Linked DNA regions of Ovis aries. The protein of the gene in region 7 interacts with the protein of the main gene of each other region in a biochemical or structural test. Links are inferred from orthologs where the notes say so. Each region holds a gene or a part of one and is shown on either strand. Other genes may lie near its edges.

Region 1 (4,246 bases), on a different chromosome or scaffold from region 7:
CTAAATACCTGGCAGTTTAGGATGCTCCACTAATGCACTCAGGCCTTTACATCAAATCCTAGCCTCGGGCAATTGCACCCTATTTAAATAAATGAATATACCCCTGAATTCTGGCTTAAATGCCTCACCTGTCATTATCCTTCTCCTGAGAAGAATCCAGGGTTCAAACCTTTTAGAAGGGTGAAAACTATCAGAAATCGCTCTTGGAGAATTCCACAGGAAAAGCCCTGCTCCTCTGGGATACACACAAGGAGTCCATGTGCTCCGACCGGGATGTGGTAAAAATCAGGTTCCCTAAATGCAGGGGGCGTTGCCAAAGGAGGGAAAAAGGAGGTCACTGAAGTCTTAGAGGCACTCATCACAGGAAGTAAATGTGGGTTCCGCAGCGCAATGCCTGATTAGAGGGGTCACCTGTCTGCTTTAGAGCATGACCAACAGCTGCTTTCAAAAAAGACCCAGGCCTGAGCTCGGGCAGTGATGCTGGACTGGTTCAAAAGGGGTGAGGAGGAAGAGAAGAATTACAAAGATTCGAAGAAACTCTCCCAGAATCAAAGGGCACAATGCACAGGAATGATCAAGAGAGCACACACACAAGACTGAGGGGCCCAGGGGTGGCAGAAGCGACCACATAGGTCAGCTGGGACACAGAAGGCAGGCTTGCAAATAAAAAAAGTGAGCTCGAAACCTTTGAGATCTGAGATTATGCTTAAACCACAACGTCTTCCACACCCACAGGTCTTTATCTGGTGTCATGCGCTAAAAGAGCAGGGTAGGAAGAGCCTTAGTGCCAAGGCTTAGCCGCAGGGGGATGGCCTACATTCCGTATGGATTTAGATGAGGAGAACAGGAGGGGAACAGCACGGTTCCCAGGACGGCTTTCTACAAAGTTGACAAAATACCTCCCAACCCACATACCCAGCCCCTTGAGAAAGGGAAAGCAGCCTGTTTTACTATAGTTCTGAATTCAATGCCAAGTTCCTTCTCCAATGCTCACCCGGAGTGTCCAGCAGAGGGAGTCTCAAAGAGGTACTTAATAAAGAGAAAATTGTTTCATTTTAACACTCCATAGACAGTGGGAGCATTGACTGTAGCCCCCTCCCAGAGACTCAGAGGAACAATGAATGCCCGACTGGGTCCTCCTAGTATGTTCACAGAGCCACCGGGCTGGCTCCATTCTGTGTGGTGGAGTGATCAGAAATTTTGTTTTGTTTTGTTGAATGGTTAAATGGACCTTGTGTTCTTCAGAATCAAAGAGGAAAGCCCCTGGAATAACATCTCTCTGTTGCCTTCTAAACAGGCCCCTTTGTTTCTAAGAGAGTCTGAAAAAAAATATTTACAGTCCATAGGTTATTTACAGCCTCGTTACCCAGCCTGACTGGTAACTTTATTCCATCCAGAAACCTAATTCATTTGGAGCTCTGGAACTAATAACAGATTTTCTTTTCAGATAAGTTTTGTTTTTTTTTTTCTAATCTGCCTTTATAACAGAGATAAAACTATTAATGCGTTCCCTGTCTCACTGGCCACGACTGTTCTCCGGATTTATAGAGGATTAAAACCTCGCCCCTCCTCTTCATTCCGCACAAACCCTTGCCTCCTCTCATTTGCTATTTCATCCACAGGGTATCTGAACAAAACCGAAAGAAAGCCAGATGGACTGACGCTCAAAGTATGTAAAGGCTGCTACTTCAATGATTTCATGAGAAAGACATTTTCACGAGGAAAATGACTGAAAAAAAAAATCAAACACCCTTTGGTTCAAAATCCCTCCTACTACAAGCACACACACACACACACAAAACACACATCGAAGTGTAAAAACTTAGTTGATTCCGGTTTGATTTCTGGCTGGAAACTGACAGAACTGACTGAAGAGAAACGAAAGAGGGACTGCAGGGGAAACGGAGTATTTCTGCCTTCCGTTCTTGTCTTTCTTCCTAAAGACAGACGAGAAAAAGGACCCGACGCCAGGTGAAGGTGCACCGCGCAGGTTTACCCAGACCGGCGGAGACCAGCGTCTTGGCCGCCTCCCCGACTGGCAAACCCAAACTACATTTTCCCTTACACACGCTAATGCGGGGAGATTTTCGCCTATTTCATTGTTCTGCCTGGCTCTGAAATGGACTTTTCCTCTCTGCCCCCCTCTCATCACCTAGCCCCGCACATTCCGATCCGACAGCCCCCCAAAATCTGAGGCTCGCGAAGAATAAAGGAGTGTGTGTTTGTGTGTGTGTGTTGCGGGGGGTGGGGGGGGGGGGGAGTGGAGGGAAACGGGAAGGGAGCTGGGAGGACGGAGAGTGGAAACAGATCACCCTAAAGGTAATTTTCTTTAGGGTGTGGGGGGGGTGGAGATGGAAAGCTACACCGCATCACCTTTATTTCTTACAAATAAATAAAAAGCACCGTCACGGGTCTGTCTTTTTTCCTGGCGCCCCCTCCCACCCAATTTCTTTTCTTCGGCCAGTAGCCCACCCTCGCACACCCCCCACCCCACCCCCCGCCTCTTTCTCCATCCTGGAAATAAGATCTGTTTGATTCCGGATCCCGGCCGATCGCCGGGCGACCGAGGGGGTGGCGGGGAGGGGGGCGGGCGACCGGTTCGAGCCCCGGGGGTGGGGCGCGGGGACCCGGCGCCGGGGGGCTGCGGGCCGGGGGTGGGGAGGTGCTGCCCGGCGCGGGGCCGCGGGCAGAACAAAGCTCCGGGGGCCGGGCGGCCGGGCGGCCGGGGGTCGGCGGAGTCGGCGGGCGGGCGCCGCTTACCTTCGTACACGGGGGCCATCGGGGCCGGGGTGTCCGCGATTCATGGCAACGGAGAAGGGATCGCGGCGCGCGAGCTCGGCCCCCCCAGCCTCAGTCGGAATCTGCCATCTTGAGCCTGTGTCTCCGCTCTCGGCGCAGCCGGGGCCGCCAGCGCCCGCATCACCGCCTCACTTGGCCGGCGCCGGGGGAGGGGGCCGGGCGCCGCCGCCGCCGCCGCCGCCGCGGCCCGGGCCCTGCGCGGGGCTCCCGGGGGCTCCGGGGGGCGGCCGGGCGGGCGCAGCGGCCGAGGCCGAGGGCCGAGCGGCCGCGGCCCCCGAGCGGGTCCGCGGTGGGGCGGGAGCCGGGGCGGGCAGCGCGCGGCCAGTCCCCGGCCGGGGCTCAGCTCAGCATGGCTGTGTGTGTTGGGGAGGGGGGCGCTCCGGCAAAAGTTGCACGGGAGGCGGGGGAGGGGCGGGAGGAGCCGGGGGAGGGGCGGGGGGCGGGGGCCGGGGGCGGGAGCGGCGGCCGAGCGCGAGCGACGAGCGAGCCCGGAGCCAGGAGTCCGCGCGCAATCGAGCGCCGATGGCACGGATGCGAGGCGGGGAAGGCCGAGCGCAGGGCAGGAGCGGCCGGGCTGGTGCGGGGAGGCGGTGGGTGGGGGGCGGATCCCGGGAAGCCGGGGAGGTTAGGCGGCTCCGCCGGGCGGCGGTGCACGCGCTTTGGTTCTGACTGGCAAGGGGGAGCCGGTCCGCGGGGGTGGCACCAGAACTTTGTGTGCATGCGAGCTGGGCGGGAGGGGAACCGACTGGAAGGGAAGCCTCGGCCGCCGACGGCTCGCCCTTTCTCGCACCTGGTTGGCGCTCCCCGAGATGGGTTTGGAATGAATGAATGAATGGAGGAGTGGGCGCACGCGGTCCTCCCCGGACTCTCGAGTGAGTGGAGGAGCTTTGGAAGCCCAAATGAGGTCAGAGATGCGGGAGCCATTCGGCGCACGCTTATGAAATGCAGCCTTCGGATGTTCGCTGGATTCCTGCGGGAATCTGGTTTCCGCCCCCATCCTCAGGTCTACGAGGTCTGGAGGGTTAATCCCCAACCCCTATCACCTAGACGAGTGGTTGCCACCGATTGTTTCCCAGGCCTCTGCCTTCCTCAACGCTCTGCCTCACAGAGCTTCAGACGCGCTCCAGACTCCCCGAGGCTTGCCAGTCCCCTCCTGCAGCTAGTCTTGGGTTCTTTGATGGGATGCCTGCCATCGCCCCCAACTTAAGACCTGATCTTACTCTTAGGCAGGGTTTTTAAAACTGTGGGTCGTGACGCAGTAATTGATCATAACAGACATTCAGTGGACGGCAACCAACTTTTTAAAATAATGAAATGTACTAGAATAGAAAGTATTAGATGCCACTGCCCTTAGAATAATTGTTTCATAAACCCTTTGTTTCAGTTATATATACTAGACAACTGCACTGGACCAGGATACAAGTTGTATTTCCTGCTATGGGTCATG
Region 2 (3,321 bases), on a different chromosome or scaffold from region 7:
GCTGTGTCCCACTTTAGCCAGATTCCTGACCGCGGCCTCTGCCGGCCGAGCCTGTAGACCTCTCCTGGCATCTGCCAGGCTACCCCAGCAGTCCCACTGGCTGGCCCTTCACCCTCCTCCCACCCCCGTGTTCCCCTGGCGTGAGCACCACGGCCCGGCCCCACTGCACTCATGCTCAGCGGCCCCCTGCCTGCCTGACCCAGGCACCTGAAGCGCAACACCCAAACTGTATTTCGCCACAGCTCCCACAGGCCACCCTAAAACGCCACAGCCAAGGCGGGCGCAGATGTGAGGTCCCCCCACCCGCCCCGGGGGTGAGTGTGACTGTGCGAGGGTCAGAGGACCACCTCTGTGGGGCTGGGAGCAGGTGGGAGTGGAGGTCTCAATAAACCTCAGGACCTGAACGAACCGGCCTTACTGTTGTGCACGCAGATACCTTTGCCTGCCCCCATGACGGCACACTGTCCTCGACTCCGAAAACACACCCTGGAGACAGGCACTAGAGGAGACCTTGTATTTCACAGGCAACCTTCCGAGGGCAAAAAAACTGTCATCATAATAATGTAATAATAATAATAATAAAATTATGATACTGAAAAGAATCGCTTGGGGGAGGGGCTCCCCCTCTTGGTGTGGCTTGTGCTGGCTCAGGTGGCTGCTTAAGGCCACAGGGTGGGTCTGAGATGAAGCTGCAGAATGATCTGAGCTGATTCCCCGACCGGGCGCAGGGCTCCAGCAGGACAGTCCTGCAGATCTCGGAGCTGGGTCTGCCCCTGGCAGCAAGGCACGGACTGCGGGACTCAGGGCTCCTGGAGGTCAGGCAGGTCGGCCAGCAGCATGGGGGAATCCATCTGGATCTCACGCTGCAGGGACTCGATGTCGGCAGGGTTCATGCCGTGGCCCTCGAGCCAGTCAGCGAGCAGGGAGGCTGAGAGCGAGGCTGAGTCTGCTTGGCTGTGGGTGCGGCGGGGAGACAGGGTGAGAGGCTCCTCCTGCAGAGGGAGCCCCAACCGACAGCCCTACCAAACCCAGAGCCCCACCGGACCCAGAGCCCCATTGGACCCACAGCCCAACTCAAAACGTCAGACCCAGCTCTTACCCGTCTTGTGGCCCATCAGCCACACCCATGTCAAAAGACTGGTTTAGGAATTCCTCCAGGTCAAAGCCAACACCATAGCCAGCTCCACTGCCCTTGGGGGTGCCCGAGAACACGGGGGGCAAAGGGTCCTCCACCTGCAGGGGATGACGGCAGCTCACAACACAGGCACCACCAAGAGCAGACTGAGGTTGGCAGGGTGCCCGGCCATGATACAGCCCCACCCATGCCCGGGCCTGGACAGCAGCGGTGACAGCGCCAGCCTCAAAAAACCCTGAGCGTGGGCTGGGGTCTCCAACAATCTGCTCGTCAGCATTAGGCTCTGGCCTCAACAACCTCAGAGCCCACCTCCCCCGCGTCAGACCCAGGCATCCCCACGACCAGGCCTCTCTCTCACCTGCGACTTGGACAGCTGCTGGGTCACCAGGGTGACGTCAGGTGACTCCGATGTGGAGGGCTGTGGGGCCCCCCCGGGGTCTGGAGGGGGTGGGCCAGAGGGGAAGTAAGGGAGAACACTCAGGGCACTGGGGCCGGGCAGCCCAGGGGGCGGCACCAGTGGCTGGGGGGCCAGAAGGCTGGAGGTGGCAGTGGTCTGGGGAGCAGCAGGGCCAGCTGCAGGTGCAGGGGGTGGGCAGGCCGGCTGTGGCAGGGGCCCAGTGGGCTGGGTGGCAGGGCCAGCGGGAGGGCTGGGGGGCCGGGCTGTGGGCGCGGGGGCAGGGGGCTGGGCCATGCGAGTCCAACGCTCCAGCAGGCTGCGGTCGTTTTCACTGAGCACCAGCCCAGCCAGGGGGTCAGCGGAGGGGCCCCCCGAGACCCCCGCGCCCCGCTCCTTGCGCTCGCGCTCCTGCCGCCTCTTCTCCCGCTCCTTGGCCCGCTCCTGCCGCCGTCGGCGTTTCTCCTCCCGCTCCCGCTGGCGCTCCTGAGCAGTCACCGGCTTCCGAGGCTCAGGAGCTTCCAGGGGGGCACTGGGGCCATCTGTGAGGAGGATGGGAAGGTAAGGTAAGAGTCAGTCCAGGCAGGGGTTCCCCCTCTGCCCCCCATTCCCCAGCCAGGCACCTCGGAGCCGGCTCCGCAAGGACTTGAGCAAGGCAGCCTTGAGGGCAGCCTTGGTGTTGTCTGAGATGGCCCCCTCCTTCTTTGGAGGGGCTGGTTCACTGGCTGGTGGGGGCGGTTGCAGGGTCAGATCGATGGTGTCGGGCGCAGGGCCAGGGCACGGCAGTGGGGCTGGTGGAGGGGACTCCATGGCGCAGTCCCCACTCGGAGCCCAGGGGCTGGGCATTTCCACGTCGGGGCAGCTGGGCTCGCTGGCCACAGGCTGCAGGGAAGGCTGGAAGCGGATCTGCTGGCGAATGCCCTCGCGCCGTGCGTGGAAGTCCTCGATCTCCGCCACGATGGCCTCCTTAATGCGCTCCCGCGTGAGGGCTTCGCGGTCAAAGGCAAAGTCAAAGGGCGGGGCACAGTCAGGCTCGTCGTCAGGGTCATGGTACTTGGCCAGGAAGGGGTGGCGGAGGGCAGCAGCTGCGGAGACACGGGCGCTGGGCTCGAAACGTAGCATGCGCCCCAGTAGGGAGAGCGCCTGGCGGTCAGCACCCGGGTACACCGTCTCCCAGGGCACAGGCTGGCGTGGTGGCAGGCTCTGGATATAGGCCCGCACCCTCTCAGCTCCCACAGCCTGAATCACGGCCGGCGACGGGGTACCCAGCACCGTCATGATCAGCTGCAGCTGGTGCACATAGTTTTTGCCTGGGAAGAGTTGGCGCCGGGCCAGCATCTCCCCAAAGATGCAGCCCACGGACCACAGGTCAATGGCCTGCGTGTACTCATGCAGCGAGAGCATGAGCTCGGGGGCGCGGTACCAGCGAGTGGCCACATACTCAGTCATGAAGTACTGGTGCTCAGCGGGCGAGGTGCACAGGCCACGGGCCATGCCAAAGTCCCCAATCTTGAGCTCGCAGTTCTCGTTCACCAGCAGATTGGAGGGCTTGAGGTCGCGGTGGATGACCTGAGCCGAGTGCATGTACTTGAGGCCCCGCAGCAGCTGGTACAGGAAGTAGCGCACATGCTCCAGTGTCAGCGGCTGTGAGGAATGGATGATCTGGTGCAGGTCGCTCTCCATCAGGTCCAGGACCACGTAGCTGAGAGGCAGGGGAGAGACGCAGGCTGTCTTGCCCAAACTCCAACCCCACTGTCACGCCCTCCCAGCTCCAGACAGGTCAAGGTCTTAC
Region 3 (3,500 bases), on a different chromosome or scaffold from region 7:
GCTAAGAGTCTGACAGGACTGAGTGACTTCACTTTCATTTTTCACTTTGGTGCATCGGAGAAGGAGATGGCAACCCACTCCAGTGTTCTTGCCTGGAGAATCCCAGGGACAAGGGAGCCTGGTGGGCTGCCGTCTATGGGGTCACACAGAGTTGGACACGACCGAAGTGACTTAGCAGCAGCAGCAGCAATTAGCTATTTCACCCTTGTTAACAGGGTGTGTAACCAAACTTCTGGATATTTGTAATCTGGTAGATAAAAAATAGTACTTTGGTGTAGTTTTAATTCATGTTTCTGTTATTGTGAACAAACCTGAGCAGATTTTCATGTTTAAGGGCAATCTGAACTTCTTGTTTACTACCCATTTTTAGGTCACTGGCCTAGGTTATTGACCAATAAGGAGCTCTTGATATAGTAAGGAGATATCATCTGTAATATGAGTTGCAAATGTTTTCCCTTAGTTTGTCTTTAATTTTTTCTCTCATTATTGTTTTACCATGCAAAATTTTAAAATATTTATATAGTCAAATCTATCAATATTTTCTTCTATGCTTTCTGGGTTAGTCAATTAGAAAGACCTCTTCAAAAGGAATTGTTTTGTGTCATCTTCTACTATTTTCATGGTTTCAGTTTGTATTTTTTAAATTTTGGATCCATTCACCGGACGTTATCCTGTTGGACAGAAAAGTGATACTAAAGAATAAAATGGACATGCCATTCCTTTGCTTAAAATCCTTTAATGGTTTTCTACTGGTCTTAAGATCAAATTTCAAATTCTTAACATGGTCTATTAACTCCAATGTGATCTGGCCCTGTTTCTTCTGTAAAATCATTATGTAACATTCTTTATTGCTCTCTGGATCTCATTGGGTTTCTTTTAGTTCCTCAAACTTGTTATGCTTTTTCATGTCTCAGAATCTTGGATGAACTGTTCCAGAACCAAAGTTAAATCTCTCTGTAATACATTGTTAAATTATCCAGGGCTTCTTTGTAGCACTCATTAACTCTAATTAATTATTTATGTAATTATGAATTCAGTAGCTGTCTTCTGTGCCAGATTATAAGTCTCCACTAGAACAAACACTCAAGGCATCTTGTTCACTACTGTAGCTTCTGTTCCCAAGCACAGAGGTGGAAGTATAGCAGCTTCACAGATATTTATTAAATGAATGAATAAATGAAAAATAATAGGTTTAATAAATTCTTTGATAACATCTAATTTCATTTTTCTGATTATTAGCTTAACAAATAACCTGATATACTATATCGTTCTCCTAACAAATACATTGTGGATGCATTCAAACCACCAAGTACAACTTACCTCTTGAAAATTATGTTGAGTGAACTTGTCTGCTATCCTTAGCAACTCACGACATGAATGTGTGTCAGCAAAAGCCCGAATGCCCAGGCAGTTTGAAGGATCTAATTGTCTCTTCAAGAATTCACAACAGGCTTCTTGTATTTCTGCCAGCTGGAGGAGGCAAGCAGCTGGCAAGAGGGTCTGAACATTGCCCTCTTCCACAGTTATCTGGGAGGTATATGCAAAGTCTATCAGTAGTTCCATAGCCCTCTCATCTATGTCTCGGATCACTACTTCCGTCTGACGGCTCTCTGCCAATTCTCCTGTAAACATAGCTCGGAAGTAGGGACTACAGGCTGACAAAATGACTCGATGGGCATATATCTTCTTAGCGCCCACAACTAGCACCACATCGCATAGCTCCCGGTGTTTTCTCAGAAGGTTAATCACTTCCAAGGTTTGTCGAGGGTGCTTGTCTGAGATATAGGGCATGCGGGCAGGTTGGGGAACCCCTTCTGGCAATTTGTTGGGGTCTCCAAGGGTGCAGCGGCTTGTTACATCCATTCCAGTCTCTCCTGGCCGAATGTTGGTACACCTACAGGAATGGGGGTAGGAGGGAGAAAAGAAGATGACAATATTTTTAGAAGCTCATTCCAGCATTTCATTTGTATTTCATATGTAGAGATTCAGGTGTTAATTTACTAAGTAAATGCCACAAACAAATTATTGACAAATAATTAGAACTAAAATATTTGGATTTTCATAACCATCACACTGTATCAACACGGAGGAAAAGAGAGAATCTGTGCCCCTCAGTGAAGACGGTAACTATGTTTTTGACAAATATTTACTATTTTTTATAGTTTACAAAGCATTTAGCTATGGACTAAGGAAAATTCAAAGGAATATAAAGAGGCAGTCAGGAAACCTAATTATCTAGAACAAGGAGATATACATGAATAGCCAGAAAGAGGGTAACCAGGATAAACAATATGATTCAGAAAGGCAAAATCTATGAAATATTTGTTTATCCTGGAACATATACCTGATTGGCATATGCTCTCAGTTATTACAAGGGTATGTATTTGTGTTGTGTGTGTGTGTGAAGTGGAAATATTACATTGGGTTTTTTAATAGTTTAGGTGAAATATGTAAGCACACATCACTATACTTCTGTTTCTGATTCTATACTTGCTAGGCAGTCTTCTGATGTACAATTCTTTCAAAGGTATCATGTTATTAAAAAGGGAGGTAGGTGACTTCAGTGTCCTGATCACTGGGTTTTAGGTCAGCCTAAAGTTAGTCTCAGAAACTAATCATCTATGACTGTACTGAGATAGTTTAATATCTGGTCCACAAGGGACAGTATTAGTTTACTACCTCTAAAACTATAGCACCAACAAGACATACAATATAATAAAACACTAGTGTGTTGAGAGAATCCCCTGGAAAGGAGAGGAGACTCTAAAAGAACATTTTAGGAAGAAGAAACTACATTCAGTTCTTCGCCATCTGTTTTTCCAAAGCACTTATAAATTTAATCTATGCTTGGCCAGAGCCTACAGGTAAATGTATTCTACAGTACAAACTATTCATAATACCTGACATCTGGTAGAAACAGCACCATTTATGCCTGACAATTTAAAACTGAAACTGAAAGCTGGGCAGTTAAAAAACAATTTTTACCACCCACATAAACAACCAAAAGAGCCTTTAGCCACAGTACTTTATTGGTGTCGTTTGTAGTAGATGCTGAAAGAATAAATCACGAGGTTAACAGTGGTGTACTCCAGCTTTAAAAAAGAACCACCATTAAAGACAAGACCAATTTAAAAATTCCCATTATAACGCTGACATTCTATGTTGAAATTAAAGAGTTTTGTTGCAATCTTAATCATGTACACAAAGATGGTACTGTTGAACTCAGGTATAAACAATTTTTTATTTCACGCAAGTACAACATGGAAGCTAATTTCTACATATCTACTTAAGTTCTGTTTTCTATGCTCTCTATACACATTCTTGAGAAGTACATTTAATCTCATATTTTCCATCGCCTGTATATAAATGACTAAAGGATTCTTAACTCCCACCTGGGTAAGTTCTGAATTCAGATCCATATGGATGTCCCCAAATCACTCAAACTCAATATATCTCAAATACTAAAACTGATTCCTTGACTACTTTCACCCAAGTACAAG
Region 4 (4,147 bases), on a different chromosome or scaffold from region 7:
CTGCTAGTAAGAAGCACCCACAGTGATTTTAATTGACACTCAACTCTTTCAACTCCACCTAGACAAGTAATCTATAGATAATGCAGAAAAGAGGTTGGGGGAGGGGTAACTTTTTCAATATTTTATTGTATTTTCTTAAATATCCTTTCTGGAATTTTCAGAAACAAAACATAAAAAAAATTATATACTTTATTACAAATGGTAAACTCAGAGTGCTCCAAATCTCTTATTTACAAACAAGGCTGGGCAGGACACCCAAACAAACAAACATGAATAACTTACAAAGGCATGAAGCTGTTTATTGACAGTAATCAGCTTTCATCAAATTAAAAAATATATATATGTACATACACAGTTATGGAAGGCAGGCCAGAAAGAGCTCATCTGCAGGCTGGGCCTCGCTCTCACAAACCTCCCTCCCGCCTCCCCTCCCCCACCCCCTTTGTGTTCTTAAGGAGTACTACAGAAGCGATCTACAGTCTCTATTGCAGTTTGCAACCCCCTCCCCCACCCCACCCCTTTAATACTGAATGAGATCGAATGTTAGGTCCATGCAGTTCTTGGTCAACGTTAAAGAAAAGTCTAACGTTCTGTTTGCGCGGGGACAGCCCGTCCGCAAACCCGGGCAGCCCGCGAGCGGCCGTTCCCTGGCTCCTCGCCAAGGGAGGGCGCGCCAAGTCCTTCCCACTCGTGCACACTGGGGGCGCCGTCAGGACGCAACCCAGTCCAACTTGGATACCCTTGGCTTTAGTCCTCGGACACTTTTGTTTTTTTCTCTGTTTCTCTCTCGCAACTTGTCAAGTTCTCAAATCTGTCTCTCTGTGTTATTTATATTTTTTCTCCGTTGCCCCTCAGCCCCCGACAGTCTCGCCTCAAAACGTTTGCAACTGCTGCGTTAGCATGAGTTGGCACCCGCTGTTAACGTGGTTCATGACTTTTTGTTTAAGCTGGGCCACCTGTTCCCTGAGCATATTGGCGGTGGACGCCAGCTCCGAGTTCTGCGCTTTCAAGGTTTTCACTTTTTCCTCCAGCCGCGCGATCCTCTCCAGCTTCCTTTTCCGGCACTTGGAAGCAGCGATGCGGTTCCTCATGCGCTTCCTCTCCGCCTTGATCCGCTCCTGGGACTCCATGTCGATGGGGGACAGGGGCGGCGTTTCCCCGGGCATCTCGGGCACCGTCTGCGGCTCTTCCTTCAGGGCCTGCAGCCGCGGGTGCTGCACGGGTATCTGCTGGGGCAGGTGGTGCGGCGGCTGCGGTGGTTGCTGCTGCTGCTGCTGGGGCTGCGCGGGAAAGGCCAGGCCAGCCGCGCCGTAGGAGGGCGCCCCGCCGCCGCTGCTCAGCGCGCCGGGGTTGAAGTTGCTGAGGTTGGCGTAGACCGGCGGCTCGCTGTGCAGGCTGGCGCTGAAGCCGCCGCTGCCGCTGCCGCCCGCCACCGAGGCCACCGCCGGGGCCACCAGGCCCGCCCCGCTGACCGGCTGCGCCGCCGACGTGACGCTGGGCAGCGTGTTCTGGCTGTGCAGTTCGGCCAGGGCGCGCACGAAGCCCTCGGCGAATCCCTCCTGCTCGTCCGTCACGTTCTTGGGGCACAGGAACTGGGTGGGGGTCGGCGTGGTGGTGATATGCCCGTTGCTGGACTGTATGATCAGGCGCTCCAGCTCGGGCGACGCCAGCTTGAGCAGCCCAACGTCGGGCGAGGTGAGGAGGTCGGAGTTCTTGGCCCGGAGGTGCGGCTTCAGGCTGCCCACCGGGTCGGCCAGATTCAGGGTCATGCTCTGCTTCAGAATCTTGGGGTTACTGTAGCCGTAGGCGCCGCTCTCAGACTGGAGGAACGAGGCGTTGAGGGCATCGTCGTAGAAGGTCGTTTCCATCTTTGCAGTCATAGAACAGTCCGTCACTTCGCGTGGGCTTAGTTTAAGCTGCGCGCAGAAGTTTCGGGGCCGCAACAGCGCGCTGGCAAGCGGGGGACACCCGCGCCTCCCCGGGCAGTGAGCAAGGAAAGTTTCTGGAAGAGCGCGCGCCCCCGCCGGCTGGCAGCCCCCGCCCCCGGCGCCCTCCTCACCAGCTCGGTCCGGGGGATCGCAGGGTTAAGACGCCGCCCGCGCTCTTACTTGTCCGCTCGCGCGCGCCGCCCGGCTTTGAAAAGTCGCGGTCACTCACGGAGCTCTCTCGAGCGCAGCGGTTCCTCAGAGCCCGCGGACGAACTCGCTTCCCGGTGATAGCAGGGAGCGCGGACCCCGCGTTTGCCTGCCGGCGGCGGGTGTCCGCCGCCCCGACTCGGAAGACTGTCCCCTCCTCCGCTGAGAGGGGGAGGGGGCGCCCGGCAGCCGCGGCTCGCGCTCGCCCAAGTTCAGCAACCGGTGCGAGCGAAGCGGAGCGCACGTCCTCCTCTCTCCGCCGCCTCTTTTTCTTCACCGCCGCCGCGGCAGCTTCGGGCGGAGGCAAGATTTGCAAAAGTTCGTTCCGGGACCCGGCGGCCACTTGTCTCCTGTCTTCCTGGCCGGGAAAGTTCTTGCCGCTGCAGCCGCTCTCCGGACTTCCCCGGGCGGACAGTGGCCGCTCTCCGCGCTGTCAGCAGCGCCCGCGCAGCGGGGCTCTCCGCCTGGGGGCGGCTGGCGAAGGGGCTCTCCCGGCGCTCCCCAAAACACCAGGCCGGGAGCCACAAGCGCTAGCTCCGGGCAGTTGGAGAGAAATTGGAAAATAGGATTTGCTGTCCTTCTCGACTGACTGTGCCTGTCTGCCTGCCTGCGTCCGCGCACCTCCACTCCCGCCTCGCAGCTTCAGCCACACTCAGTGCAACTCTGAGCCCTTATCCAGCCGGAGCGCAACACTTATCTGCTACCAGTCAACCCCTAAAAATAGCCCATGATGTCACCCCAAGGCCTTCCCATTGGCTCGCGTCGCTCTCAGGGGGGCGGGCCCACCCGTCGCCATGGAGACCCCACCCTAGAAGATTCTTCTCTGGGCCCGCGGAGGCTCACGGGATGAGGTAATGCTCCGTTGCCCTCCTACAGTTGGGCCCTTCTTTCTCCTCCTCCCCCCAACCCGCTCCGCGCGACTCGCGCCCCTCTCTTCCCCCTCCCTCCCCGACGCGTCTTTCCCGGCCCGCCCGGTGCATTGTGGGCTGACGTCTTGGGGTTTGACTGTCTAGTGACGGTGGCTGCCGCGAGCCGGGCGGACTCCGGCGCTCCCAGCCTCTGAGGGAAGTGGGCTGAAGTTTAGGGCTCGGATGGGAATGCCAGGGATGCTAGGACCCAGGAGGCCAGGGGAACCGAGCCAGGTGTCTGGGGCCGAGGGCGCGGGGCGGGTGGTATTTCCCCACTTGGGGGTTCGATGTCACCCGCGGGCACTTCGCCGCCGCTCGGGGCGGGCCGGGCCCGTTGAGCGCCTGGGTTCCTGGCCCCCCCGCACTTCCGGGGGGCGGGAGCACCGCCCTTAAGGTGGCTCTGTTAAGTCCCCTGTGGGGGCGAGTGAAAGTGGCTTTTAAATTTGGGGGCAGTTCGTGAGAGTCGGCCCCCCACGTTGAGAATGCCCTGAAGTTTGTCTCCTGGTCAAGTTCAGTAGCGACTGTCTGGCTCTGTCTGGAAGTCCAGTGATTTGCATTGCTTGAAACTGGGTGTTCGGCTAAGTCCCCTCCGCACTCCCACCTCACCCTCCCGACCGTGGGAGAAAGGGTGCGGGGGTTCGCATCTTTGCCTCGGAAAGGTTTCTTACAGGAGGTGGATTTAAGGGGCAACTCGGCGTCTAGTTTGAACGAGCGTTTGGAGAATCCGAAACTCGGGGAACCCCGGTGATAGTCTACTCTCCGCCCCCGCACAACATGCATAGACACACCGCACATCACATGTACACACAAACACACACACACGCACACGCCACTCCTCCCGCCCCGATTTGCTTCCGGGAAAACAAGTCCGAGAGCAGCAGACACTTGCCAAAAGTCACGCAGCGAGTGAGTAGAATAAAGATTTAAAATTTCTCCGCTCCCGGCTGGGGGGTGGGCCCATATCCTGTGTAGCCTCTAGGAAGCGCTAGACCCATGTAAGTGGTTCCTTTTCAGTGGTGGTTATTCTTCTCCTCCCCCAACCCCGCGCCCCTTAGGGACGAAAGTGTACGGTGGAAAGAATACCGAAGTCTGGAGTCGTGGGTT
Region 5 (4,162 bases), on a different chromosome or scaffold from region 7:
CCACTCTCACACACCAGCTGGGGAGGAAAATGAGAGGCAGCCATGGAAGCCAGGCTCATGCCACCAACAGGCACTTATAGGTCGGCCAAGGCCACAGCTGACAGCTAAGCTGGCTGGGGTGGAGCATCTCATGTGATTTCTGTAAAGCTTGCACTGCCCTTGGGGAGAGGGACTGCCCCCTTCCCCCAGGCCTGGTCTCCAACCCCAGCTCACCATTGATCAGCTCCAGGGCCTCCTCCTTGGTTCGGGTGATCTTCTCCTGCCGCCAGGACGAGGGTCGCCGTGACTGGCTGTGCTTGACCAGCAGGTGTGAGCAGCGGACCCTGGTGGGCTCCCCTTGTCCATTTTTGCCGCTGCCACTGCTGTTGCCACTTGGCCGCTCCCACTGGCTGGCATTAGTGATGTGATTGAAGTAGTACACCCGGCCTAGAAGGGGGGGTGGGGTACAGAATTCAGCTGGGACCTGCTCAGTGCATACCACCATCAAGCCATGATATGGAACTGGCCAACAAGATGCCTTCATTCAGCCAGCCCACTGCTGTCCACCAGTGTCACCAGGACTTAGGGAGCTAACCCTCTAGGTGGGAGGCAGACAGACAATAAACAAGCAAGTACGACCACATAATAACTTTGGTCATTAACAACTTCAAGGGGGGAAAATAATCCAAGATGAGGAAGAGAGGTTCAAAGCATGCACTCAGCAGCCAGACTCCCTGTTCAAATCTGCCACTCACTCCCTGTATGACTCCCTTCTCCGGGCCTCAGTTTTCTCACTTGTAAAATGGAAATAACAACAGTACTTGCCTGAATGGTTTTTGGAAGGACTGTATGAGTTCACATCTGTAACGAGTTTAGGACAGCACTTGACATATATTAACACATTATCGACTGGGGGATTTTTGCAAAAACTAACGCCTGTGGCTGGCGATTATAAATGAATGTTGAGACACTCCAGTCAGTAACATTTGGGTAACAAAAAACATACTAATACATCTCTGGTCAAACCGTGGGCTTCCCAGGTGGCACAGAGGTAAAGAATCTGCCTGCTAATGCAGGAAGCAAAAAAATCTTGGGTTTGATGATACTCTGGAAGAGGAAATGGCAACTCACTCCAGTATTCTTGCCTGGGAAATCCCATGGACAGAGGAGCCTGGTGGGATAGTCCATGGGGTCACAAAGAGTAGGACACGACTTGAGCATGCACATGTTACTGTGAGGCATCTGGTCAGCTACTAGTGCCTCCAAAACAAAGCAATGGGTGTTTATTCTGCTGCATAAACTGTACCCATGTGTGTCACACACAAAAGCTTTGTCCTTTTCCCCTACCCAGTTACAGAACTGGGGTCCAGCATTACTGGGGTCAGATGTTATCCAGACTAAAGAGCATGGAGTGAGGGCTGCCAACAAGAAGCTTGAAGTAGGACCCAGTAGAGATAGGGTGTCATTCCTGGAGCAGAGTCTGCCCGGGGTTACACGGAGGACTTGTCCAAACACCGTGAAGGGCTGGATGTCACCCTCAGGGAACACTGTCAGGATTGAACTGGGTTGAAATGGCTGGAGTGGGAGCCCCAAATTTGGCAGAGCATTGGCTTTACATTGTAGGTCACATCCATGGGTCAAGGCTGCAGGGTGGGGTGGGGGTTGGTGAGAGCTGAGCCACTGACTGCCTCAAAAACACTGGCAATGGGTTCCATCTCCCTGAACCTCAGTTTTCTCATTTGAAAAGTGGGGATGAGAGAATAAGGACATCAAACCTCCAGAGGGTTAATGTGGAGAGTGGATGGTGCTGTATGCAAAGTGCTCCTGATGTTCAAAAAATCAAATTATTACTGCGACAATGACTGCTAGGCTCTATGGAGAAAGAAGTGTGAAATACTGGAACCTGCATCTTGGTAGTTTGCAGCAAGAAGGGTAGGGGGCTCTGGAGTCAGAATGACTGGGTCCGAACCCAACCCCCACCCCCTGAAATCAATGACCTTGGGCGGGTTCCTTGCGTTTTCTGGCCTCAAGTTTCCCGATCTGCAAAACGGGGGTAACAATTACCTCTCTCCCAAAATTATGACCATTTAGAGAAAGCAAACACCCAAAATGCTTGGAACTATGCTTGGTCCTGAGATAAACGTTCCCTATTCTTGACATTATTATTGGGGAAAAGTCTTAAGTCGGGTTCCGGAGCACAAGGGCAGTTCTCAGGCAGAATACCACCGGCCGGATATCGCAAACTCAGAATATGGTGTGGATGGTAGCGAGCGTATTAGCAGAAGGAGGTTGTATATCCGAGGCCGAACAACACCCTATAGGGCCCCGCCCTGAGCATGATGTTGGGGTGTCCTCCCCAAGGGGTCCCCACCCTGGGACCAGCGGGTTGCACAGACGTTCCCTCAGGACTTCTGGTGCATTAGGCCGAACGAAAATGTCAGTCAGATCGGCAGGGCCAGGGCCATCGCCTGAGGGAGTGCCGCGGGATCACCATCCCCCTGCCACCCCGGGAGCACCCTGGAACTCCCCGGCCACGCCCCTTGCCTCAGTTTCCTCGGGATTCCCCTCTCCTCAGGCTCGCAGCCCCAACAGGGTGGGCCGGGGCCGTTACCCGGGGACGACGCGGAGGAGCCAGGACCCCACGGGAACCGAGCGGCGCTGCCGCGCTCGAGGGACAAGCTCGAGCCCTGCTTCTGCGGGCCCTCGCGGCCCCGTCCCAGCCCCGACCCCCGCGGCACCTGAGCTGCGGCTCATACGCTTCTCCCAGCCGGGCGGCAGCTTCTCCTCGTCCGCCATCTTCCCTCCTGCCGCAGAGGCCGCTCCGCCTCCGCCGCACCGCCTCTGCCGCCCGCGTCCGCCCATCGCTGCTGCCGATTGGCTGAGCCCGCCCCGCACGGGGTCTTGGCGACAGCACTCATTGGGCACCCTAACTGTCCGGACTGACTCTCTGGCTTCCTATTGAGCAAAGGCGGGGGTGGGCGGAGCCTCCCACCATTAATCTGGGCCCCGCCCCGGTCGGCCTCACCCAGGTCCCGCCCTCTTCCTTTCCTCGGCCGCTAAATGGTGGGAAAGGGACGCGAACTCGCCTTATCAACGCCCTCTGCTGAGCTTCCAAAAGTTCCGACCCCTCCTTTGCGTCCTTCGCCACAGAGCCCATCCGATTGGCTACTACTGTAGCAATTCCCGCCTTCCTAAACCATAGCCCGCGGGCTGAAGCCTCCCAGGCGGAAGTGTCTGGCCTGTGTGGAGGTAACCGCAGCGAAGGAAGTTCTTGAAAAAGGCGGTGCTGCCTTTGCTGTTGCCATAGCAACGCAGTTACCTTGGTGATGAACAGCTAAGAATCCAGAAGCCTATATTTGGCTCCTCCGTTCTCCCTCGTCCCACTTGTTTGCCCAAGATGTCCAAAGCTAGCCCACCTCCTTTTAATTTTTTGTGCAAAACTCCCTATTTTACTGACCCAAACACCTTCCATTTCCTTTGAAATCTACTTTACTTTACTAATTCCCTCCCAGTTTGGCTTCTGCCTCTGTCCTGGGTGACTCGTGGGTGTTGGCATTGCCATTCGGATGAGGACACGGTGGCTTTGTGGGTGGAAATCAGTGGGTGGAAGCGCGGGTGGGAGGATAATAGCTCAGTTTGAATCAAGTTGCTTTTAAAATTTATTTTTTATTGAAATATCAGTTGAATAAGTCAATTTAAAATGAAGGCTGTGGCACTAAACGGACATTGAAGAGGTGGTTGGAGACCTAGGGCTGTAGATTTACGTGGGAATCGGGACACCAACAGGGAAGAGTTCAACTAAAGTTCATCTATAGGAGGAGGAGAGTGAAAAAGCTAGTTTAAAATGCAACATTAAAAAAACTAAGATCATGGCATCTGGCCCCATCACTTCATGGCAAATAGATAAGGGGAAAGTGGAAACGGTGACAGATTTTATTTTCCAGGGCTCCAAAATCACTGTGGATGGTGAGTGCAGTGATGAAATTAAGACACTTGCTCCTTGAAAGGAAAGCTATGACAAACCTAGACAGGGTATTAAAAAGCAGAGACATCACTAAGCCGACAAAGGTCTGTATAGTCAAAGCTACAGTTTCTCCAGTAGTCATGTATGGACGTTGAGAGTTGGACAATAAGGAAGGCTGAGCGCCAAAGAACTGATGCTTTTGAATTGTGGTTCTGGGGA
Region 6 (4,102 bases), on a different chromosome or scaffold from region 7:
CCTGTTTGGCTTGGGTGGGGAGGGGTGAGGGGACATTTATTTCAGGGTTAGTTTTAAAATATTTTCTCATTTTCTACTGTCCAATCATTTCAGCACTTCCAATGATCTCTAGGACACTCTGCCTCTCTTTTCTTCCTGTCCCCTAGTTGCCCCAGTTCCGAGGGCCCACGGGCCAGGAGTTACCACTAGTCTTTTTTGTTATATTAAAAGTAATGCCAATTTAAAAGCCTGGTGCCCATTGGAACAATCCCATGTTAACCTCCTTTGCACTGCTGAGATAGAGGTGAAAGGGAAGCAAGCAAGAAATCAAAGAACGTTGGCAATTATATCCAGAGAGGTTTAGTGACTTGCCTGAAATCACAAAGATGGGACAAAGGAAAGACAAAAATCTAGGCATCCTCACTTATAAGCAGATGCTCTTTCAACAAACATCACAATATTCACATCCTTCAACATATCCTTATTGAAGGATTCATACACTTGGGCAAGATAAAAGTAATCTCTAGCTAAATTTGGGGAATCCACCCATTTTTTACGCTGCTGCTGCTACTATTTGGTAGCCAAGTCCTGACTCTTTCGACCCTACAGCTTGAAGCCCACCAGGCTCCTCTATCCATGGGATTTCCCAGGCACATCGAGCTTCTTTGGTGTGCTTATGCTATTTTCTTTTTGCCATTGTGCAAGTATAATGGGAGAAAGGATATTTTGCCCCAAGATTCAACATGAAATGTTGGACCTGGAACTTCTGATGTCACCAAATTCTTTCAAGCATGAGAAATTTTTCCTTCTAAGAGTATTCTAGTGCTTCATTTTCTACTTCACATCAGTCATTTAATTTATGAAAAAAACAAGTAATTACAGGTATTCAGTTGAAGTCAGATAAACGGCTGAGCACAAGATAACAAAAAATCTGAAAGAAAAAAAAAATGATGGCAAAGTCCTGACAATAACAGGACGTAATGAGCATAGTAAGACAAACATGCAAAGAGGTGATTATAAAAGTGAACATTTAGAGCTACCATGAAGCTATCTGAAAGTATATACTGAGGAGAGGCACTGTACAATTAGCTTTTTGCAGGACCAAGATGTAGTAAGAATAATTTCTGATAATGACAAGGGTGTGGAAGTGATCATGTGAATCATCCTATTACAAACTCTGGAAAATTATGTATATGAAACAGTCTGCACTCTATCATTATGCAATTTTTGGTTGTCTTTCATATTTCTACAAGGCATCACTCAAATTAGACTCTAACACCTTAAAATCCTTAAAAAAAAGATTCACTTTCTTTCACACACACACACATTTACTGTGCACCAATAACACAGAGTGGACTGGGGATACAATGATGAGGAAGAACTGGTCCCTGCTGCAGAGAATCTGTCAGAGGGAGGAAACCAGATTCATCAACAGATACTTAAAACAAGGTAATAAAGCTGGTGCAACTGGTAGAAGGTGTAGGAGTCAGGTATAGAAAAGGAAAGACTTCCAAAGCAGTAGTCAAGAATTACATCACCTTATCTTGAGGTAGAAGAACCTGTTTTTAATTCATTTGCTGCCTCTAGATCTGTCATCAGATGGGTGACAGGAAGACCATCTTTGCAGTTGGGATAATTAATTGGAATTAAGTAAGAGTGAGTGAGGCTTCTCCACAACAAATGAGGGTTCCAACATGGGACTAAAGGAGAAAAGGGAATCTCTAAACTAGCAGGTTAACGGATCATTCTTAAAGACATGCTTAAAGTTTCACTGTAACTGTAATTCCAAATTCAGTGTAACCTATCTCTCAACAGAAGCCCTTAACACAAATTATCTTTATAAAGATTTAGGAGGTGATACGATCTAAAATCATCCAAAATCACCCACTTGGAAGAAGGACCCTAAGTTAATTAGTTGGGGGCCTCTAAAAGGCATAAATTTCACAAGAATCACCCCCACCCCAAATATAAAAAGCAAACAAACGTGAGGTGAAATGACTTTAACAAGGCTGACGAGAAAGTGATAAAGCAGCGAGTTACTGCCAACAAGATAGTGGAAATACTGCAAAGGCACCGATAAACAGAAATCACCAAGCTCAAGAGAAACTGGGTATATATCCAGAGAGATCACGTTATAGGGGACGGCAAGAAAGAGACGGTTCGAGGGAATTTACCAGGAGGCGATAAGCCAGGTAAGCAAACGGCGGCAGTTAAGGGGATTTTCATAACCTGGGCAGGAGGGTCCAGACGTTTCTTTCTGGTGGTGGCACTAGCGGTATCACATCTCTGGGAGACACCACAGAGTAAAAGAGTTGGAGAAATGTTTACATGAGACGCAGAAGTAGTCGAGAAATATCTTTCAAGCCTCAAGGAAGGCGGGAGGTGAAGCACGCATAACAGAAAAGCTGAGCTTCCCGATGAAAACAGCTTTCCCCTGAGAGACCTGCTCTGGCGGGAAAGCCCCGAAATCCCAACCGGCCTTTTCCTCACGAGTAGGGCTAGGCGCTGAGATGGGGCGGCCGTGACCGTAGGGAGACGGCCTCTCCTCGACCCCGGAGAAAGAGGCCTCAAGGAACGGCCCCGGGAAAGCTAACTAACGGCCACCCGCCAGATCGCGGCCTCGGACAGCAGGGGGGAGAGGTGGTCCCAGGGGGCGGGGCAGAGGAAAAAGCGCACTCCCCACAGCTGTCCCCGCTTCCGTCCAGCCCAGCCCAGGCTGCCGGGCCCAGGCCCGCTCTGCCTCCCGGTCAAGGCTCCCTCCATCCTCACCCCTCCCCCAGCTTCCCGCCGCCACTCACCGAACCGGAACCGGCTGCTATGCGAAGGGGTTTCCGGCCGGGCGCGGAACGCAAAACCCGGGAACCGCCGCGAACCGGAACCGCCTCCACAACACCGGAAGAGCTGTTCCGAGGCTGCGGAGGAGGAGGGGGTGGGGCGAGAGGTCAAAGAGCAGAGTTGAAGACCCGCGGAACGCCTGCGCAGTGTGGCGAGGCCTCAGACGCCAAGGGACTCATCTAAGACTGTAGTCATAATTTCCTCTTTCAGTCTGGGCTTTTTCTCCTTCTCCTTATTAGAATACTGTTAGTGTGCCCATCGTCCTTCGCTTTTCTCTGTTCCCTCTGGCCCCCTTACCCGCCGCCTTCTGGTTCCGCTCGGCGATTTCTGCTCACGTTTTGGTTTCCATGGCAGCTTCTCTCTCTGGCTCTTGAACTGCAGGAACCGGTGGCCACCTTGACAGATGTAGACCTGAGCTAAATCTAGGCCGGGCAAGATTCACGTTTTAGCGAGAATCACAAAACGTTAGTGCTTGTAGAGGTTACTGGCCATCATTTAGTCTACGAGTTTCAGAGAAGTGGAATCATTTCCCAAAGTTATAAAGTACATGGCAGATCTGGGACTAGGAAACAAGTTTCTTAACTTGCAGTCCTGTGCTCTTTGCAGCCTATCATGCATGATTGGCTATTGGGGAAAAGGTGGGCCGGGGGGTGGGGGTTGGGGGACAGCTTGGGATTGGCTTAGGCTAGACTCTGGAAAAGTGGGGAAACTTCCAGAACGATGGACGAGTTTGAAACACTCCTCCAGGAGGTGTGAGGAAAGTTATCTGGAGATCCATCCCAGGATTCTGCTCTCTGAAGAACTAGATGACCATGTTGTTGTTCATGGGAGTGAATTGATTAACCTTTATTCTATATTTTTAAAAGAAAATAATGAGAAGGCATACATTTGTTCATTTAGACTTGTCACCAAGTCCCTCAGCTTGGTGGGCCTCAGGACCCAGGCCCATCTAGAAGTCTTGGAGAAATGCTTCTGAGTAAGCACTCTAGACCCAGATGACAGCCACAGTCAGGTCAGACTTGGTTGAGCTGGAGGCCTCCAGCCTTTAGCTCCTTTCAGCTGCTGGAGAAAATGCTTGCTGAGTTCAGGATATCTTGTCCTGTCAAATGTATGAAAGTAGATAGTATGTATCACTTCATATGCTGACATTTTATACTTAGGACCTAAGGCCTATTAGTATTGAACATACCTGGTCCATGTCATTTTTGTCCATCTTAATTTTTCCACAGATCTGTTGATTTGCATTATATTCTGTCTCTATTTCTAGGAGGCAACCATGCGTAAAGTG
Region 7 (3,500 bases):
GATTTGGGCTACAGAGCCAAGCACTGTCTCATTCTCCAGCCACACGATGTGCCCCAACCTTGTCTCCCAGTCGGACTGGACAACTCCAGGTCAGAAACTGGTCCTCTGTCTCCTCACTTCCCCAGTTCCCAATACCAGGCAGGGCCCACACAGATAGGCAGCTAGTCCAGATGGCAGGCCATCCGAGGGGCAAAAGATCCCTTCCACTGAGCCTGGTTTTGGGTAAGCACCCCACCAGGGGATGGGGGTGGGGGTTAGGAGTGGTGGTGGTGGTAGTGGTCCGCCCCTCTGGGGCTAAAATGATACAGGGTATGGTTCTCAGCTTTATAGTTTCTTAAGTCCCTTGAGGGGCTTCCCGCAGTGGCTCAAGCGGTAAAGAATCTGCCTGCAATGCAGGATACCGGGGTTCAATCCCTGGGTCGCCAAGATTCCCTGGAGAAGGAACTGGCAACCTATTCCAGTCCCTCTTGCCTAGAGAATTCCACGGACAGAGGAGCCTGGTGGGCTACAGTTCATGGGATAGCAGAGTTGGACACAACTGAGTGACTTTCACTTTCAACTTCCTTGAGAGTCACAAGATCACAACTAATACTTAGGGTCTTATAAATCAGTCAGACGTGACCCTACTGGGTGGCTGCAGGCTTCTGCTCCCCCAGACTTATCCTGCGCTCTGTAACCTACAATGTGATCAAACCCAAGAGACTTAATAAAAACCCCACAGTTTCCTCTTATGTCACATGGGGCTGATCTTTTCCACCTGCCTTTCCCCACGGGCATCAGCAGGCCCAAGCCCTCACAGGGTAAACAGGCCAGCCATGAGGTGATGGTGGCTTACCTCTACCCTGGGTGATGCAAGAGACGAGGCCCTGCAGGCGCACCCTGAATTCGTTGAAGCTGTCTGTGTGCACAGTGGCTCGCAGACTCTGGGGCTCCTCTTGGCGCAGCTGGTGGAGTGCCTTGCGCAGGAAGTCATGCATGTCCAGCACCTCCTGATCCGAGGCGTATAGTTTCATCCTCTGCACCAGCACGCTGCCCATACGGATCCGCTGCAGTACAGCATCCAGCCGGCCCAGCTGGCCCGCTATCTCTTCATAGTCGCGCTGGTACCGCGCACCCACGCCTTCCAGCAGCTCACGCTCCTGCTCTAGCACGTGCGCTACCACCTCGCGCACGCGCTCACGGATGAACTCCTCAGTGTCGGCGCGTACACGGCCCAGCTGGCTGATGGCAGAGCGCATCTGCGCCTGCGCTGCCCCGAAGCTGCGGTCCTGCTCCTGCAGGTCCTGGGTCATGGTGTCCAGCTCATCCTGCCGCTGCTGGATCTCCATGCTGATGTCGCACTTGAGCTCGCCGTGGTCCCTATCCAGGAGAGCGCACGAGCAGCACAAGGGCTTGGAGCAGCCTCGGCAGTAGATGCTGCGGACACAGAAGGTTGGCCTGATTTAGGGGATTCCTGCTTTCTTTTTCTCTTTAAATATTCTTTACTAAATGCCTCTTCAAAACAGTTACAAAAACTTTGAGTGCTGGTATGTTTCTACATCTGTGCTTTTCTCAGTTCAGTGTTTCTGGTTATGGGGATAGTATCCAAACTACCAATAAAACTTATTGGAACATAAAAAAAGTTACTAAAGTAGTAATAGCTAGCCTCCATCCATGAAATACTGTATATTAACACATACATGTAATTTAGAAAGACAGTAACAAAAATCCTACATGCAGGGCAGCAAAAGAGGCACAGATGTAAAGAACAGACCTTTGGACTCTATGGGAGAAGGCGAGGGTGGGATGATTTGAGAGAACAGCATTGAACTGTGTACATTCCCATATGTAAACTAGATGACCAGTGCAAGTTTGATGCGTGAAGCAGGGTACCCAAAGCTAGTGCTCTGGGACAACCCAAAGGGATAGGGTGGGGAGGGAGGTGGGAGGGGGTTTCAGGATGGGGTGGCACATGTATGCCCATGGCTGATTCACGTCCATGTATGGCAAAAAAGCATCACAATATTGTAAAGTAATTATCCTCCGATTAAATAAATTTTTTTTTTTTTTAAAGCAGAGTTAATCATCATCAGAAGTACCCAGCACTTCTGAATTTCTTTTCTCCGCCTCGGAGGCAACCAGGAGAGCATCCTGGGTGCATCCTTCACACCTCTGGCTCTTCAAACTGCTCCACATAAATAGTCACACTCTTCTGCTGCTAGCAGAATCCCAAGGACTTGAAACATTTCATCCCACTTAATCCTCCGTAGAGTGTCTTAAGAGAATGATTATTATCCTCACTTCACAGACAGAAGAAATCAAGATGTTCAGAGGTTAAATAACTGACTCATACCTACAATAATTTTGGGCAGGTTGATGTTTATTTAAAAAAAAAATCAGATCATGCTAAACGATTATTTTGTAACTTCCTCCTCTAATTTAACTTTTGTTCAGGACACTCCTCATCTAGGTCTACAAGCATAATCTTCAGTTCAGTTCAGTCGCTCAGTCGTGTCCGACTCTTTGCGACCCGATGAACTGCAGCATGCCAGGCCTCCCTGTCCATCACCAACTCCCAGAGTCCACCCAAATCCATGTCCATTGAGTCGGTGATGCCATCCAACCATCTCATCCTCTGTCGTCCCCTTCTCCTCCTGCCCCCAATCCCTCCCAGCATCAGAGTCTTTTCCAATGAGTCAACTCTTTGCATGAGGTGGCCAAAGTATTGAAATTTCAGCTTCAATAACAGTCCTACCAATGAACACCCAGGACTGATCTCCTTTAGGATGGACTAATGTATTTAATAGATCCATTACATTCCAGATGGACCACACTGACTCAGCCATTCTATTAATAACGCATTGGATCAGTTTAGTGGAAGACAACTTTTCCACGGGGTGGGTGGGAGGGGTGTGTGCAGGGGAGGGGGGATGGGTTGGGGAAGGGGTGGCAAGGGGTGGTTCAGGCAGTAATGAGAGTGATGTGAAGCAGCAGATGAAGCCTCCTTTGCTCCTCGCCAGTTCCTAATAGGTTCCGACCAGGATGGGTCTGCAGCCCAGGGTGTTGCAGAACTCTGTGTTAACGGGCATTCCAGTGATTTCCTGTTTGTGCATTTCCCCCCAATATGGACAATGCTTTATGTAGCCTCATGCATAGATCCTTTTGTTTCTATGAAATATATGATAAAATAATAGAATTGCTAAGAGAGTGTATATTTTAATATATTTTAGCCAGCAGACACTTCCATAGTATTTACTATGTGTCAAGATACTTATAAACATTTCACAAATATCAACTCACTTAATCCTTATAACAATCCTATGGAGTGGGAATTATCATTGTTCCCATTCTAAGGATGGAGAAACTAAGCATGAGGTGCAATAACTTGTTCAAGGTCACACAATTAGAAAGTGACAGAGTCCAGAAGCAAATTGTAGTAGGCAGAATAATGGTGTGCATTCAAGTACTAATTCCTGGAACCTGAATAGGACCCCTCACATGGCAAGAAGGGCTTCCCTGAT

What was found.
Region 1: of the proteins of PML (region 7) and HIPK2, one has a biochemical effect on the other in vitro, tested with the Homo sapiens proteins (2 studies listed by BioGRID). The link is inferred for Ovis aries from reciprocal best matches to the Homo sapiens genes PML and HIPK2.
Region 2: the proteins of PML (region 7) and MAPK7 form a complex in vitro, tested with the Homo sapiens proteins (2 studies listed by BioGRID and IntAct, with this or other methods). The link is inferred for Ovis aries from reciprocal best matches to the Homo sapiens genes PML and MAPK7.
Region 3: the proteins of PML (region 7) and KLHL20 form a complex in vitro, tested with the Homo sapiens proteins (3 studies listed by BioGRID and IntAct, with this or other methods). The link is inferred for Ovis aries from reciprocal best matches to the Homo sapiens genes PML and KLHL20.
Region 4: the proteins of PML (region 7) and JUN form a complex in vitro, tested with the Homo sapiens proteins (2 studies listed by BioGRID). The link is inferred for Ovis aries from reciprocal best matches to the Homo sapiens genes PML and JUN.
Region 5: the proteins of PML (region 7) and PIN1 form a complex in vitro, tested with the Homo sapiens proteins (2 studies listed by BioGRID and IntAct). The link is inferred for Ovis aries from reciprocal best matches to the Homo sapiens genes PML and PIN1.
Region 6: of the proteins of PML (region 7) and SENP1, one has a biochemical effect on the other in vitro, tested with the Homo sapiens proteins (2 studies listed by BioGRID). The link is inferred for Ovis aries from reciprocal best matches to the Homo sapiens genes PML and SENP1.

What each region holds. Positions count from the first base shown.
Region 1 is NC_056057.1:104,675,499-104,679,744, forward strand, and holds the start of HIPK2 (homeodomain-interacting protein kinase 2), read right to left. Parts: upstream 2,801-4,246; 5' UTR 2,780-2,800; coding exon 2,761-2,779; intron 1-2,760. Other genes in the region: putative HTLV-1-related endogenous sequence, read right to left, coding at 2,801-3,152, 3,271-3,468.
Region 2 is NC_056064.1:33,839,276-33,842,596, forward strand, and holds the end of MAPK7 (mitogen-activated protein kinase 7), read right to left. Parts: intron 3,232-3,321; coding exon 2,153-3,231; intron 2,072-2,152; coding exon 1,494-2,071; intron 1,234-1,493; coding exon 1,100-1,233; intron 955-1,099; coding exon 801-954; 3' UTR 501-800; downstream 1-500. UniProt on the Homo sapiens protein: Plays a role in various cellular processes such as proliferation, differentiation and cell survival. The upstream activator of MAPK7 is the MAPK kinase MAP2K5.
Region 3 is NC_056065.1:54,477,008-54,480,507, reverse strand, and holds part of KLHL20 (kelch-like protein 20), read right to left. Parts: intron 1,895-3,500; coding exon 1,321-1,894; intron 1-1,320. UniProt on the Homo sapiens protein: Substrate-specific adapter of a BCR (BTB-CUL3-RBX1) E3 ubiquitin-protein ligase complex involved in interferon response and anterograde Golgi to endosome transport.
Region 4 is NC_056054.1:33,493,864-33,498,010, forward strand, and holds JUN (transcription factor Jun), read right to left. Parts: upstream 2,801-4,147; 5' UTR 1,881-2,800; coding exon 873-1,880; 3' UTR 107-872; downstream 1-106. UniProt on the Homo sapiens protein: Transcription factor that recognizes and binds to the AP-1 consensus motif 5'-TGA[GC]TCA-3'.
Region 5 is NC_056058.1:12,284,522-12,288,683, reverse strand, and holds the start of PIN1 (peptidyl-prolyl cis-trans isomerase NIMA-interacting 1), read right to left. Parts: upstream 2,801-4,162; 5' UTR 2,776-2,800; coding exon 2,718-2,775; intron 427-2,717; coding exon 214-426; intron 1-213. UniProt on the Homo sapiens protein: Peptidyl-prolyl cis/trans isomerase (PPIase) that binds to and isomerizes specific phosphorylated Ser/Thr-Pro (pSer/Thr-Pro) motifs.
Region 6 is NC_056056.1:138,490,660-138,494,761, reverse strand, and holds the start of SENP1 (sentrin-specific protease 1), read right to left. Parts: upstream 2,801-4,102; 5' UTR 2,206-2,800; coding exon 2,154-2,205; exon of another isoform or gene 2,100-2,153; intron 1-2,099. Other genes in the region: PFKM (ATP-dependent 6-phosphofructokinase, muscle type), read left to right, coding at 4,091-4,102. UniProt on the Homo sapiens protein: Protease that catalyzes two essential functions in the SUMO pathway.
Region 7 is NC_056071.1:32,252,370-32,255,869, forward strand, and holds part of PML (protein PML), read right to left. Parts: intron 1,417-3,500; coding exon 836-1,416; intron 1-835.